Linked DNA regions of Drosophila melanogaster. The protein of the gene in region 2 purifies or fractionates together with the protein of the main gene of each other region. This does not show direct contact. Each region holds a gene or a part of one and is shown on either strand. Other genes may lie near its edges.

What was found. The genes of interacting proteins can lie anywhere in the genome.
Region 1: the proteins of Cdk4 (region 2) and CycD purify together in Drosophila melanogaster (affinity purification with western blotting, with the first as the bait; 2 studies listed by BioGRID). This does not show direct contact.

The regions. Positions count from the first base shown.
Region 1 is NC_004354.4:15,906,308-15,911,603, forward strand, and holds CycD (cyclin D), read right to left. Parts: upstream 3,370-5,296; 5' UTR 2,803-3,369; coding exon 2,230-2,802; intron 2,012-2,229; coding exon 1,790-2,011; intron 1,727-1,789; coding exon 1,552-1,726; intron 1,493-1,551; coding exon 1,347-1,492; intron 1,285-1,346; coding exon 967-1,284; 3' UTR 515-966; downstream 1-514.
Region 2 is NT_033778.4:16,577,712-16,585,514, reverse strand, and holds Cdk4 (Cyclin-dependent kinase 4), read right to left. Parts: upstream 6,046-7,803; 5' UTR 5,982-6,045; intron 5,952-5,981; exon of another isoform or gene 5,589-5,951; intron 5,410-5,588; exon of another isoform or gene 4,822-5,409; intron 4,683-4,821; exon of another isoform or gene 4,674-4,682; 5' UTR 4,603-4,673; coding exon 4,500-4,602; intron 3,520-4,499; exon of another isoform or gene 2,645-3,519; coding exon 2,479-2,644; exon of another isoform or gene 2,146-2,478; intron 1,364-2,145; coding exon 1,228-1,363; intron 1,166-1,227; coding exon 837-1,165; intron 772-836; coding exon 636-771; intron 564-635; coding exon 480-563; 3' UTR 67-479; downstream 1-66.

The sequences.
Region 1 (5,296 bases), on a different chromosome or scaffold from region 2:
TTTCCAGATGGTATTACATATATCCGTACATATATGATATTTCGAATCGCAGTGCAGGAGGCGGACGAGTGCAGGAATGCAATAAAGCCAGTATTTTTTTAAAGCTCAAAACAAAAACCGAAGAAATATCTAAAAGGAAAATCGTTAATTGCAGTGTTACAATGCTTCTACATTGATGGTAAAAAAAAAATCGAACTATGTACTCACTCTAAAAACTTGTATGAACTAAACTATCCTCAGAGCAATGAATTATATGCGAACAAATATTATTTAGCAACGCAATGTCCGCAAGAAATTATACAAAAACCTATTCAATGATAAATATTATGTGTGTGTTAAGGTTATGGTCTTTAACGATTCTTGTTTATAGACGTTTGTTAATAAGAAAATAAAGAAAAATTAAATTATTCGCATTGCCTTTAACTACTTGGATTCGTTTGGTAAGCTAATGCGATTTATCTGAAAGTAAATTATACGAAAATATACATACATCATAGAGGGCAGAGAAGAAATTGCTTTTTTCTATCATTTATTTGCCAACTTATATAATTGTTATCCAAAGTTAACTTTAACATATTGTTTTTCTCTTTATGTTGGATGGTTTTTAAAAAAATTGCATTTAATAGTTCGTTCTTTTTTGGTTATCTGTGTAGGATTTCGAAAAGCTTATATACAAAAAAAAAATGTTGCTTTGCTGCTTACAATCAGTCTCGTTTTTATGTTTCATCCATTTCAAAGTTTCATGATGATTATTTAAAACTATTTTATACAAAATATTTAGGATAGCTAAAAATAATAACCCATAGTTTGGTAAAAAATAGTTGCGTACATATAAAATACATCGATTCAAATGTAAATAGTGTGATATTGGCCAATCCTATAGTGATCGGACTATTTGGATCCTATATATAATTTCAACTTAAGCCTGACATAACTATCATGTATGCATAACTATCATTTGACACCTCAAAATGTAACGTCTTGTATCTCGTTTTGAGCCTGAGCCTGCGCCTGCATCTTGCACGTGTGCGTCCGATGTGGCGCTGCGGACCCAAAGTTGTGCTGCTGCTGGTGTTGCTCCACGCACTCGGCAGGAGCTTTCGGTAGCGGCAAGGGTCTAATTGAGATTTGCGAGAGATGCTGCGATTGATGTATTTGGAAGCGCCTCTTGTAGTATAATGTTGACATTTCTTTTGGGTCAATATTCACTAGAAATGGCTCTAGATTCCGACTGTGCTCCTTAAAGATGTCCTCCATGTGCAGCATACAATCTCGCACCTGAGCCTGTGCATTTAAAATCAATTGAGTGGTGGTACATAACAACACTGCTCCCTTGCCATACTCACTTGCTCCACGCTGGTTAGATCGGTCATCAGACTCAAAAGGAAGTGTAGATTGTGTCCCGATCGCAGATGCCACTTTAGGCCATTCATTGACGCAGCTATGCTCGATGCAGCTATGGTGCTGGCCGAGAACTTGGCAAACTTATGTTCTTCAAAGGAAGGGGTGGGAAGTCAGTACTTAAGTTGGACTGTTTTGTATATGGCTTACCTTTTGCTGCCAACGATATAAATGCCTGAGCATGTCCCCGCACTTTGCCAATGTTTATGTCCGGAAAGTTTTTGCTGCCTATCGGCAGGCGCATCATCAGAAGCTCAAGGAAGTCCAAGGGAGTCACAGATGAGAGGTCCCAGCCCAAGCGACTTAGCACATACAGCTCCCATTTCTTGGGAATGAAATGAAACCGCATGTTCACCGAAAGGTATTGTATTACGAGAAAGGTACTTACAATCAAATCATCCTTGTAGATGCTGTTGTCCGTGTAAACAACGAGTAGATCCACCGAAAGAGCACGACAGCTGGGTTCACGGAGCTTTGAAGCCAGTAAGAGGCAAGCTGCGGCCAAAATTTGTAGCTGGGTCTTGCGTACTGATTTGCTCGAAAGAAATCGATCCATGTAATTTAATGCCAGTAATACGACCTCTTCCTGGCAATTTTCCTCGGCACACACCTGTGAACATGTATTCAATTAATGAACGAAAAGGGTAGTCAAAATATTGTAATGGGTGTGCGATAAGGACTACTAAAACAAACACTAATTAATGAAGTTCTTGGAAACTTCCATCTATTTGGTAATATTTTCTAACAGATTATAAATAATGCGTATATCACAGTCGGCTAGCTTGATATGATTTGGATGCTGTATCTACATTTCGTTTAATTACTCACTTCCATCATCCATTCGGCGACAATTTTGCGCATCGGTGGCGTAATATCCTTCTGGATGCTAAAGTACGTGTCGGGAATTTTGTGGTGCTTCTCCTCGACCTTGAGGAAATTCTCCAGACACCGATCCGAATACAATGTGGGATCCCCGATGGCAGTGTTCACGTTGTCGGTTGCGGGTGGATCGGCTGTTGTGGTCAGGCGTTCGTCGAGTCGTTGGCAATGTGACGTCGGTGGCTCCTGGCTGATGTAACGCGGATAACTTTGGATTGATTGGGTCGCTGTCGGTGGTGGTGGCGGCGGTGGTGGAGGTGGCGGAGGCGGCTCCAATTGTTCTGGATTTTTCGCAGCCGAGTCCACGGACGCGTATATATACACCAGCTCCTTCATATTGCACACTACGGCATTGTTCTGGGCATCCGGATGGGAATCGGATTCCGCGTCCCCCAAGGATGAACATATCGATGATTGATCCCGAATGATCGCCGGTGAGGACATTTGCTGCTGTCGTTTGTTCAAACGATACAATGATGGATCTGATTCGTAGACTATGATTTCCGAGCATAAAAGATCCATTATATCGGCCATACGTTCCGTTTAAAGCTATGGATTCTATGGATCGCCGCACTCTCAAGCCATTTATGTGTGCCGATTTATCAGGAACTTTGGGTAACTCCGATATGGGAACACTGCGTACAATAGGAAATGATCGTACATAAGTACATACATACATATGTATGTTGCAACCTTCTTTTCACATTTAATTCAAGTATTTGCTCAAGTATGGGCACACTGCGGGCATATGTGTTTAGTCCTGTGGGAGCACTAGAGTATAGCATATAACCCTAATACCTTGACTTATTCATATGCACATTACATTATTTACATATTTTTTCGACCTGCTCAGAAATAACTCGTTCATTTCACACTATGTACTTATGTACATGTACATGCATGGCTATGTACGATCAGCTCGAGAACAAAAGTTTTCACTTACGCCTATTCTCGGAATTCTGGTTATATACAAACGGCACAGCACTTCATGGAGTAATGTAAATTAACTATTAAAAAAGTATACTCGAAGTTGCACACGTTTGCCACTTAACCGGCGTGGACAAAGCATTTATGTGAACCAGATAGTTACACCTTATGGCAGAAAAAAACTAGTTCAGCATGCCGTCATCGGAGTTATATCTCTTGCTCACTGCGATCAGTAAAACATATCGATCTTCATCGGTTATTAGTATAGTACTATCCTTTGCAATGAAAGGCAAGCGAAATACGTTGAAAAGGGGAACCTCCTCATTGCGTTTCCAACTTGTTGCTTGTGAAATATGTTTCACTTAGGGTTGTTATTAGAACATTAAAAACTTATAATCCATCAATGGGTTTGATGGACTATAAAAGGGTCTTACCCTTATAATAAAAACAAAGTTCTTCTAATTGCACTACTTTTTTTCTTAAATAAGCTTTTTGTTATACGATCTTACGAACTTACTCTTGATGTGAATTTCACATCACTCAAGTGTTCCAATTACTCCAGCAAAATCAAAAATACTAAAATATGCTAGGGCGTTGCCACCCTGCATTCATGTAAGGATGGTACTGACAGTCGATCTTTCGGCATGTCATACATTTAACGATCGTGGTCCACGACAAAATGGTCAGTAATGCAAAACTCACTGGCATCACCCTACTAGGTTGAATCGTGATCAAAACACCCTTATTAAATTCCGTTTAAATGGCCGGAACCTGTTGATTAAATGGCAGGTTGTTCGAAAGAGTCGTAAATAAATGAATGCTGCACTTAAAGATCCTGTACCGCTTACAAAAAGCATTGAACTGCTGTTATTTTCTTTAGGGTTGTACTTAAACAGTTTTAGATGACAAACAGTAAGACATGTAAGAAACCTAAAATAATTTCACTAAAAAAATTCTAAAAGCAATTGTAAAAAAAAGATATAATCTTTGCTGCTTTGTTTAATAATTAATAAGATATTGATAAAAGGGTAAAAAGCTTTCGCGACTTAGGAATGCCAGGTTAATGATAAACAAAAGTAACCTGTGGATCCCTTCCGAGAAATGATGTACCGATATATGTACACATCGAGATTAAAATGGACTTCCATGTCCATTGTCCTAATTTCGGTGCTGCAGTTTTTTGTTGTTTTTTAGGAAAAACTGCAGCGTGGAGAATGCTTTCAATGATACAATCCTTAATTGGGTTCGCATTTTGCTAACTTAGTTGTTGCAAATTAATTTACCCTCACTCTCGGCACACAGACAAAAGCTCGCTTCCCAGAAAAAGCTTAAGGATTCAGAGAAAACTTTGAAACAGCACACGAGAGTTGAGTGGAACACTCGCGTCCGCCGACTTCGCTTTCCGTCAGAGGGATGCTGTAATCCCCTGAAATTTTATATTCGTTATATTCCCGAAGAAGACAAGAGACGTGCTGTACGAAAATAATTTTTCATTCACGTAAATTACCCACACAAATGTGTGTGGAACAATTAGCTGATTCAATTGTTCTCGCCCGCCACTTGCTAATTGGAATCGAAAAGTGTCAAAGTTTCAGGAGGTTCTTTTTGTTTAATAATACTGTGTTTAATATGCATATGTTCGCGTGTGTGGTGCTCATGACATACATACATAAATGCCAACAAAGTCCCAAATATCGCATTCATTTGCGAGGGGACTTCGCAGGACGTTATAAACACCTTTATACCACATTCTGGAAATGCCAAACGCAGTGCCAAGCCCACGCAACTTTATAATAGGATATACATTGAATGAAGTAGTGCCATGAATGCCGTGCCGCATGATATTTGATCCATTCACGGAGTCGGTCCTGGACCTACAAAGTCACAATAAACCTTCTGTTTAGTGAGACAGCGTAATGTGAAAAATGTTGAGGACGTACAAGCCAGGCATTTAAATTTATTAACTTACAATAAACATTTATGTAAATCATAAAAAACCCAGTGACACAATAAGTAAATAACAAAGACCAGAAGTAACCAAGTGCTTACAAATAAGATGAATAGAGTAAAATCTATTGAGTGACACCTA
Region 2 (7,803 bases):
ACTTTAAATTTAAGTTGCACCCCCACTTGAAATAAATTGCAGAAAAGACATGAGACCCATCTTATTGTATGCTGTATATATAATTGCATATATAAATGATTGTTGTACAAAATTTTGAAATTGTATAATGCATTCCTGAACTTTGTGTATCACATTTCGATTTGGAGGGCCTTCAAACGCCCTCGAGAATCGTTTCACATGTAATGGTCATCAGATAGTTGATCGGCAGTAGTATTCACACTTAACTTACGACTACAAACAAATTAAGGTATTCTTTATTCCGGATCCGTATCCCCGGACACAATAACTGGACTGTCGCGAAAAAATAAACAAAATGCTTCACTACACTTAAAGGAACATTGGTAACAAGAACGAAGCGCGGCCGCAATGATCAGTCCACTGCCACTTTCACTTCCACATCCATAATCCATAATCCATAATCCATAATCCATTATCCATTATCCTTCTGGGCATCGAGACTATAGGGGTTCCTGCTGAAAGTAATCGTGCTCCAAACAGGCCAAGGCGGATGGTCGCAGGTGGAGGTCGTAGGAAAGCATTTTCTGCGGGCAAACATAGGGTATGCGTTAGTCTAGACCATGCAACAAGATATGTATCTTCATTTTCATACTCACATTCAACAGATCATCGGCGTACTTGCACAGGTGTGGGCAAAAGTCTTTTGGTCTCTTTGGATGCCGCTGGGGAAAGTGTTCCAGGGCCACGGAAATGGTCTGTGGCCACTGTTGCTCGGTGGGTCTACCGGTCAGTCTGCGTGAAATCGCATAAATGTAATTAAAAATCACCGATTTCAATGGCAGTATTTGTGCACTCACTCGAAGATGCGGTCCAGCTGATTCTTTTCGGAGGTGCCCGGGAATAGGGCGCGCCGATTGAACATCTCGAAGATGATGCAGGCGGCACTCCAGATGTCCACGGTGCTGTTGTAGGGCTGGGCGAGCAGAACCTCGGGTGCGCGGTACCACAAGGTGACCACCACGGAGGTGAGCTTCATCTCCGAACCGTAGGTCTTGGCCAAGCCAAAGTCGGCGATCTTGAGGTGGCCCTGCGAGGAGACCAGCAGGTTTTGCGGCTTAAGATCCCGATGGATGATACGGTGTGAGTGTAAGAAGTCCACACCGGTCAGTAGTTCCCTTGACAAGCGCTGCAATAGGAAATAATTTCATATACCATTTTCTGAAATTTTGATATCATTTTGAGACCCACCTGAATTGTGGGCGGCGACATGCCCGATTTGGGAAGTCTGTCTATAAGATCCGAAAGATCCTGCTCCACATGTTCGAAAACCAACAGAATCAGCAATTGGCCGTCGCGCTCCAGAAACTGGCATACTTCGTACAGTCTGAAAGAGAGGGGAAGTGCAATCTTTGTATGTACAAATTGTTTGATTTTGTGTGCGACAGAGAGCGATGTATGGGGGAAATGTTGAGAGATATAAAAAAAATGTGTCATAAAATGCTGCTGGTTGTGGTGCGCCAATACGCCATTGGCCATACTTTGTTCGTTTCGGGAACTACGCGAAGCACTCGAGACAAACACATGCGCACATGGCGATCAAAGAGCCAAAGAGAGCGTCCAGTAAGAGAGGCTACAGATCGTTTTCGGACAGAGGCAAAACGTAAACGTTAGCAGAGCAGATTAGCATTATGTTATGTTAGCATTATGTTAGAATCAGTTCGGGCAGTTATTTTAACATTGCCTTTGAATTACTTAAAAGGCACAGTTTTATTGAAACCTTCTACTGTTACACTTGCTTTAGCAACTGGCACATTGGGTTTTTAAAAATACAGATAAATACAAGAAACTTAATTTGCCATTGATTTATTTCTTGTACCCCTCCAACACTTTTGGCTTCAAACAAAATAACAGCTGCACTTTGTAGCCATTTGCAACTTAACTTAACATTCTGTTGTGCGAGATCTCTCTCTCTCTCTCTCTCTCTGTCGATCTCTTTGTACTGTATTCGCGTCGCGCTCTCACGCTGCTAAAGTGCAAGCGAGTGCGCACATCGATAACGCGCGACAGCAACATGTGGTTATCGAGCTGCTCTGTTAATTCAAATTCCTAACGGCCGCCGCAAACAAACATAATGCCAATACAAAATCGCCCACATTTGCGAACTGCAGTGATCAGTTATCAGCGGGAGCGGATCGACTTGCTTCAGACTTACTTGACTTGACTGGCATATGTCAGAAGCGAGGGCGTTCGCCGGGGGCAAATCGTCGGAATATTACGGCTATAGCATGCACAGATAAACACAAGCGCGCTGACATTGCGATGCGGCTCTTTACAAATGAGTTTGGCAAATAGCTTTGGCGCCGCCACTTGGCCCCAATGGCGGGTGATAACACCCCTCATATACAGCTAGCTAGCTATAGTTCTACATAAAGTACTCAACTCCAAGGCCATTTAGAAGCCCACTGCCCTTGTGGCAGCGTGTAAATCACCCATACTCACTTGACAATATTCGCATGATTGCTGGCATTCAGCTGCTTCAGCAGCGAAATCTCCCGCAGCGTGGACATTGGCACACCGTTCTCGTTCAGCGATATCCTAACCTTCTTCAGCGCCACTATGTTGCCGGTGATCACATCGCGGGCTCTGTAAACCGTTCCATAGGCACCTGAAAAGTGGATCGAAATTGTACATCAAAATGCTTACAACGGGAAATAAATGCGAAAGACAGCCGAAAATAGAATAAAATAAAGTCAGCTGTGCCGATAAGATAAATGGCAGAAATCAGAGAGGCGAGAGAAAGAGAGAAGGTGCCACTTAGCTTCTTCATATCATTATGGTGTATTTATACTTTTCATATTCAACATCGTATTTATAGCCCTTACGATTGAAGTGACTTGATTTATTTGCCTTGTTCGATGAACTAACTGTTTATAATGATTGAATGAATAGACAATGAATGCATTTAGCCCAAAAGAATCGTATTGCAATGCATGCAATAATTGCATATATTAGAGACTATATTATATGCACTCAAAATTAGTCAAAATATTGCACGAAATTCAGACTAATTTCCTCATGAAACTGTTGCTGTCTCAGGTACAACGTGATCTTAATTTCTACATGTTCACGGGCAAAGAAAAACGACAAGAGACGAGCAAAATTCCCAATCAGAATCAAATTCTGGCATGCCAGAGAAATGTCACCGAAAATTTATCACCCGTACGGACAAATGGACAAATGGACAAACGGACGGACGGACGGACATGCGTGGGGGGTAGAAAAGCTAGAAGGCACCGGCTATTTCGGTTGACACTGACATACAGAAACAGCAGATATGTACTGATACACCCGAAATAAACGCAACTTGAGGGGGGGGGGGGGTGAATTTGGTTTTCCGTCCCTTTGTCACCGTCTCTAGACCACCTGGCTTATGAACTGTGCCGCTGTTGCTACATTCAAGTACAAGGCCGTGAGCTCGACTCGTTTTTGAACGTCGGCAACTGGTCTGTCCAATTGGAATTGTCAAAAAAATATACAAATATACAAGCAAAATAAACTCGAAAAATTGCGCAAAGAAAACAACAAAGCAAAGCACTATGGGAAATTTACGCACTTTATCTGGCCGAAAACCGATTAATATATGTAATATTAAATGCATGCATTTAGTTACAACGGTGACTACTGTTAGGCAATGCAAAAAAGTTAATTGAATGACTATCTGCAAACTAAAAAATATATATTATATATCATTAAAAATATGGGCTAGTGTAAGGCAATGCAAAAAAAGTTTGGAGTTAGTTTGGCCACAAAAAGTGGTCAAATTTTCCATAGTACAAAGTAGCAAAAATGAGACTGAGCGAAAGCGAATAATAATTGAATGAATGTGCACAGAAAGGCAGACAGCCGAAAGTTTGAGTGTATGTGTGTGTGTGTGCGTTGTATAACAGATGAAATTGTGCGGACCCATGACTCGCACAACACCCAGTAACAATATCCATCATTAGCATTCGCCTGCCCATGATGATCGGCATGATCGGTGACGTAATTGATTTGGGCTTTATTTACAGCAAACAAGCGATCGTAATTACTGACCACAAAAAAAAAAGACCATGAGCCACTTGTCAGATCATCATGGATGTGAGATCGGCAGAAACACGTAGTCCGCCGAGAGTGGACCTAAAAGTATGCAGGTAGAAGGTGTAGGATCCAATACAGGGGAGTTTTCCATCCAATATTTCCCCTTTTCGCGGAATTTCCACGCTTAATTAGTAAAGGGGTAAAAAAACAACAACATTCCTCCAAGTGCACTTGTCATTTCAGCTTCATAACAATGTCGGAGCTCCCGATTGATCGTAAACAGTAGTGAAACCAAATAGCCCAGACTTTGTAAGCAAATTAAAGTAATCAAACGTTAACAACAAGCGACCAGCAAACGAAAGCCTCTCGTGCGAAGAGAGCCGGACCTATCCCAACAACAAAGCAACCGCGTCCCATTATTAAATCCCACCCAAGTCGCTCACCTTCGCCGATGATGTTGAGCTCCTGGTAGTTGAACGGATCGCCATCGCCGAACTTCTTCGCCTGGGACATTTTCTGCCGCTTCAGCTGGCGTACATATGACATTTAGCTGGATTTTACGGTTATTTGCGTATTCCTCTAATATTCCGGGTAATCGAAACCGTTAGTTGCACCAGCTGGAAGTGAAGGGGTGTTTTTTTTTTGGTTATCGATCGTCTGCATGTCACGTATCGATATGTCCTTGTGTCCCCACGCGATAGTTCACACAGATCGTAGCGTGAGAGGGAGAGTGCGAGTGCGTGAGAGAGAGAGGGAGGGCCTTACCTGATTTCATACCTGTTGCCTTTTCTAGATAACCCCAAAACTGGCGATAAAGACTGGTGTGACAGGTGCGCTAATGGAAGAAGTCTGGCTATATGCTCCGCTATGCTTTTCTATCTCCGAGAACCGAAAACCGAAACATATACATGGACAACTACATATGTATGTATGTATGTAGATGGCGGCGGTCGTTGAACCGCGTTTAATGTTTTCGTACATACTCCGTTTTTATGTCTAACCAATCGCAGAACGGCAAAGGCCAACACTAGTTATGACTTATTCATGTTATTCAGTGACGCTGCTCGCCGTCTCCGTTTTGCGGCTTCGTTCGTGCATCCTGTTGCTCTTATTCGAGCTTGACTGTGAACGCTGTACTGGTTATCTACTGTCGCGTTAGTTGGCGTGTGTCCACTATTCTCTCCTATCTAAAGTGCTACCACTTTTCTGTCAGTGCATTTTTTTTGCCCGAAAAATATACATATACCGCAAAAAAGAACCCGAATACAATGTATTTTGTTGCTGGCATTTGTCAATTAATTCTAATCGCGAGACAAGCGAAACAACAATAATAAGCGACACAGTCACAAAACTGGGTAGAAAGAGAGTGTCCAGAATTGTGAAAGGTATTACGAGGTATTACGAGCTGTATATTTGGGTCTAAAATACATAGTTATTGTTGCACCAGTTTTCGCCCCCTCTCTCTCCCTCGTCATCCCTCTCTCGCTCACCATTTGCGCTCTACTGATAAGGAAATTTCGGCTTCACTTTACTTTTTTTTCGGTGAACTTCAATGCCAATGTTGTCGTTTTTCTTTCAACCGTTGTGCGAAATATTAGTTAAATATTAAGAAAATGTGGTTTTTATTTGCGAAGACTCGAACACACACACAACGCCGCTAAGTGATTTCGCTTGAGAGATCGGTCTTACACACACACACATACACAAACACAAACGCACACACCGAGTGGTACACACACACAGGCGCAGGTATTATGTATACATATATGATTTTTATTCGCTTTGACGAAATTTTGGCATTTGTTGATAATCCAGCTAGAACCGCACGATAGGAGCAACGCGACGCGAATTTTCGGTGCGAACACGGTTCAGTTGCCGGCAGTCGCACTTTAATTAAGTTTTTAAAACGTCTTATAAATTTTTACCAATATTCGTAAGAGTTGAGTGATTTTGTGTTTTGTTGTTGGCACAGCTCTGGAAACTGTTTTAGATGGTCTACTTAACAGTGGCTTCTCTTCGCCTGTTATCGCCCGCTGTTAGCAAACAGACGGCCGCTAACATTGTGCTGTATACGTCCAATCGGTTAAACGGTTAATTTCGAAATTGCTGCCAGCGATCGTTATTGAATGTTATTCCAATTCGATAACGTAAGTGTTATTGTGTTATACTAATGTTATTGATTTCTGGGAATTTGATATTTTCAACTTGTAATAATGCCCAAATTTATTTTTTTTGCAATGTGAATTTCAGGCATTTATATATGTAACATATATAAATTACAAATAAATAAATAATAATAAACATAATGAAAATAATATTTGAAAAAAATTTTTATTACATACGATAAAATGTGAAAATTTTAAAACTGTCGTGGTCAACTACAATTGGTCGGCCATAATTAGTTAACTCCAAACATGTGTGTCATTGACTTTTAGCATTTTTAGGATTTGGTAAACTTAAATTTTTATAACCCTGCAAAATAATACAAAATTCTGGAATAAAATGTCTTAATGATCTAGATTGGCGGCATAATTCAATTTGTAACTCAATCCGGCGATAAAGTCACTCGTTGAATGTATAATTTATTGACATGAGTTGAATGCCAAAAGTCGCTCAACATTTTTTTGAGTGAAAGCTTGCTTACCGATTTCCAACGATCTGGCCGCACTGCCAATTTCGAAATCGAATCAAGGCATTCGCAGTGGGGCGCGTAAATTTAAAAACAATGTTGCAAATACATTGTGAAACCAATAAACGCATTTAACAAACCGCCTATCACAAATGTTACCCATTGGATTGGCGAAAATTTCCATGTTTTTTTTTGGGGAAAAAGCGCGATTAATTAGTAACGAAATCAAATTAGAGCACAGTGACGAAGTCAGCCGAGTGCTAATTACCACCAGCGGGTATCAGGCACCTAAATTATGCATGACGTACGCCTTTCCGGCTCAAAGTGAAAGGGCAAACAGCGAATGCGAATGCGAATGCGATTGGTCAGGATGGATGTGTTTTGTTGGGAAATGAAAATATCACTTTCCCAGACAGCCGGAACGTGCCCACCTTTCTCACCTTTGGTGGGCGCCAGTCGGCGATTGGCATTTGTGATTCAATTGCTGCAGCCCATCTTGGCCCACTTAGCACCTGGATGAGTCGTATTCCTTCGCGGAAGTCAACGCCCAGCCGTGTAGCATACCTCACCCAATTAGAACATATGCATTTCCGATTCCAAGCCAAACTGATTTCACAGAAAAAACTTTTCATGAATGAATAATGAATGAGTGTGCTATCAGGATTTCTGGGTATCATAATCGGCTTTGTCTTTCAACCGCCTGACAACTAATAATTTCCGAGGAAGCTGCCAACGGATTAGCCATTTAATTTGCATTAGTTTGTGTGTCTGGAACGTTGCCGGAATAATGGTATTATATGGTATACCGTTAGGATCCGGTCGAATCTGAAATTCACCGATCGGCAAATAGACGCAAGTCGCTGATAAGCATTTATATTTTGTTTTTCACTCTCTGACATTTTGTCGGCCTGTGACGAAGGCGCTTATCGGCGCTGGCGATTAATCTTATTGCGTTTCAAACCGGCTGCGAGCCAAAAAACTAATTAAATGAAATTTATTGTACAAATATTATGGTCAAAATGGCTTGGTTCTGGCTAAAAATACGCAAGAAAATGCCAAGCCAAACAAAGAGTCCAAATGAATCGCGCGTTCTGAGCCCGTTTTTTCTTCTCTATTTT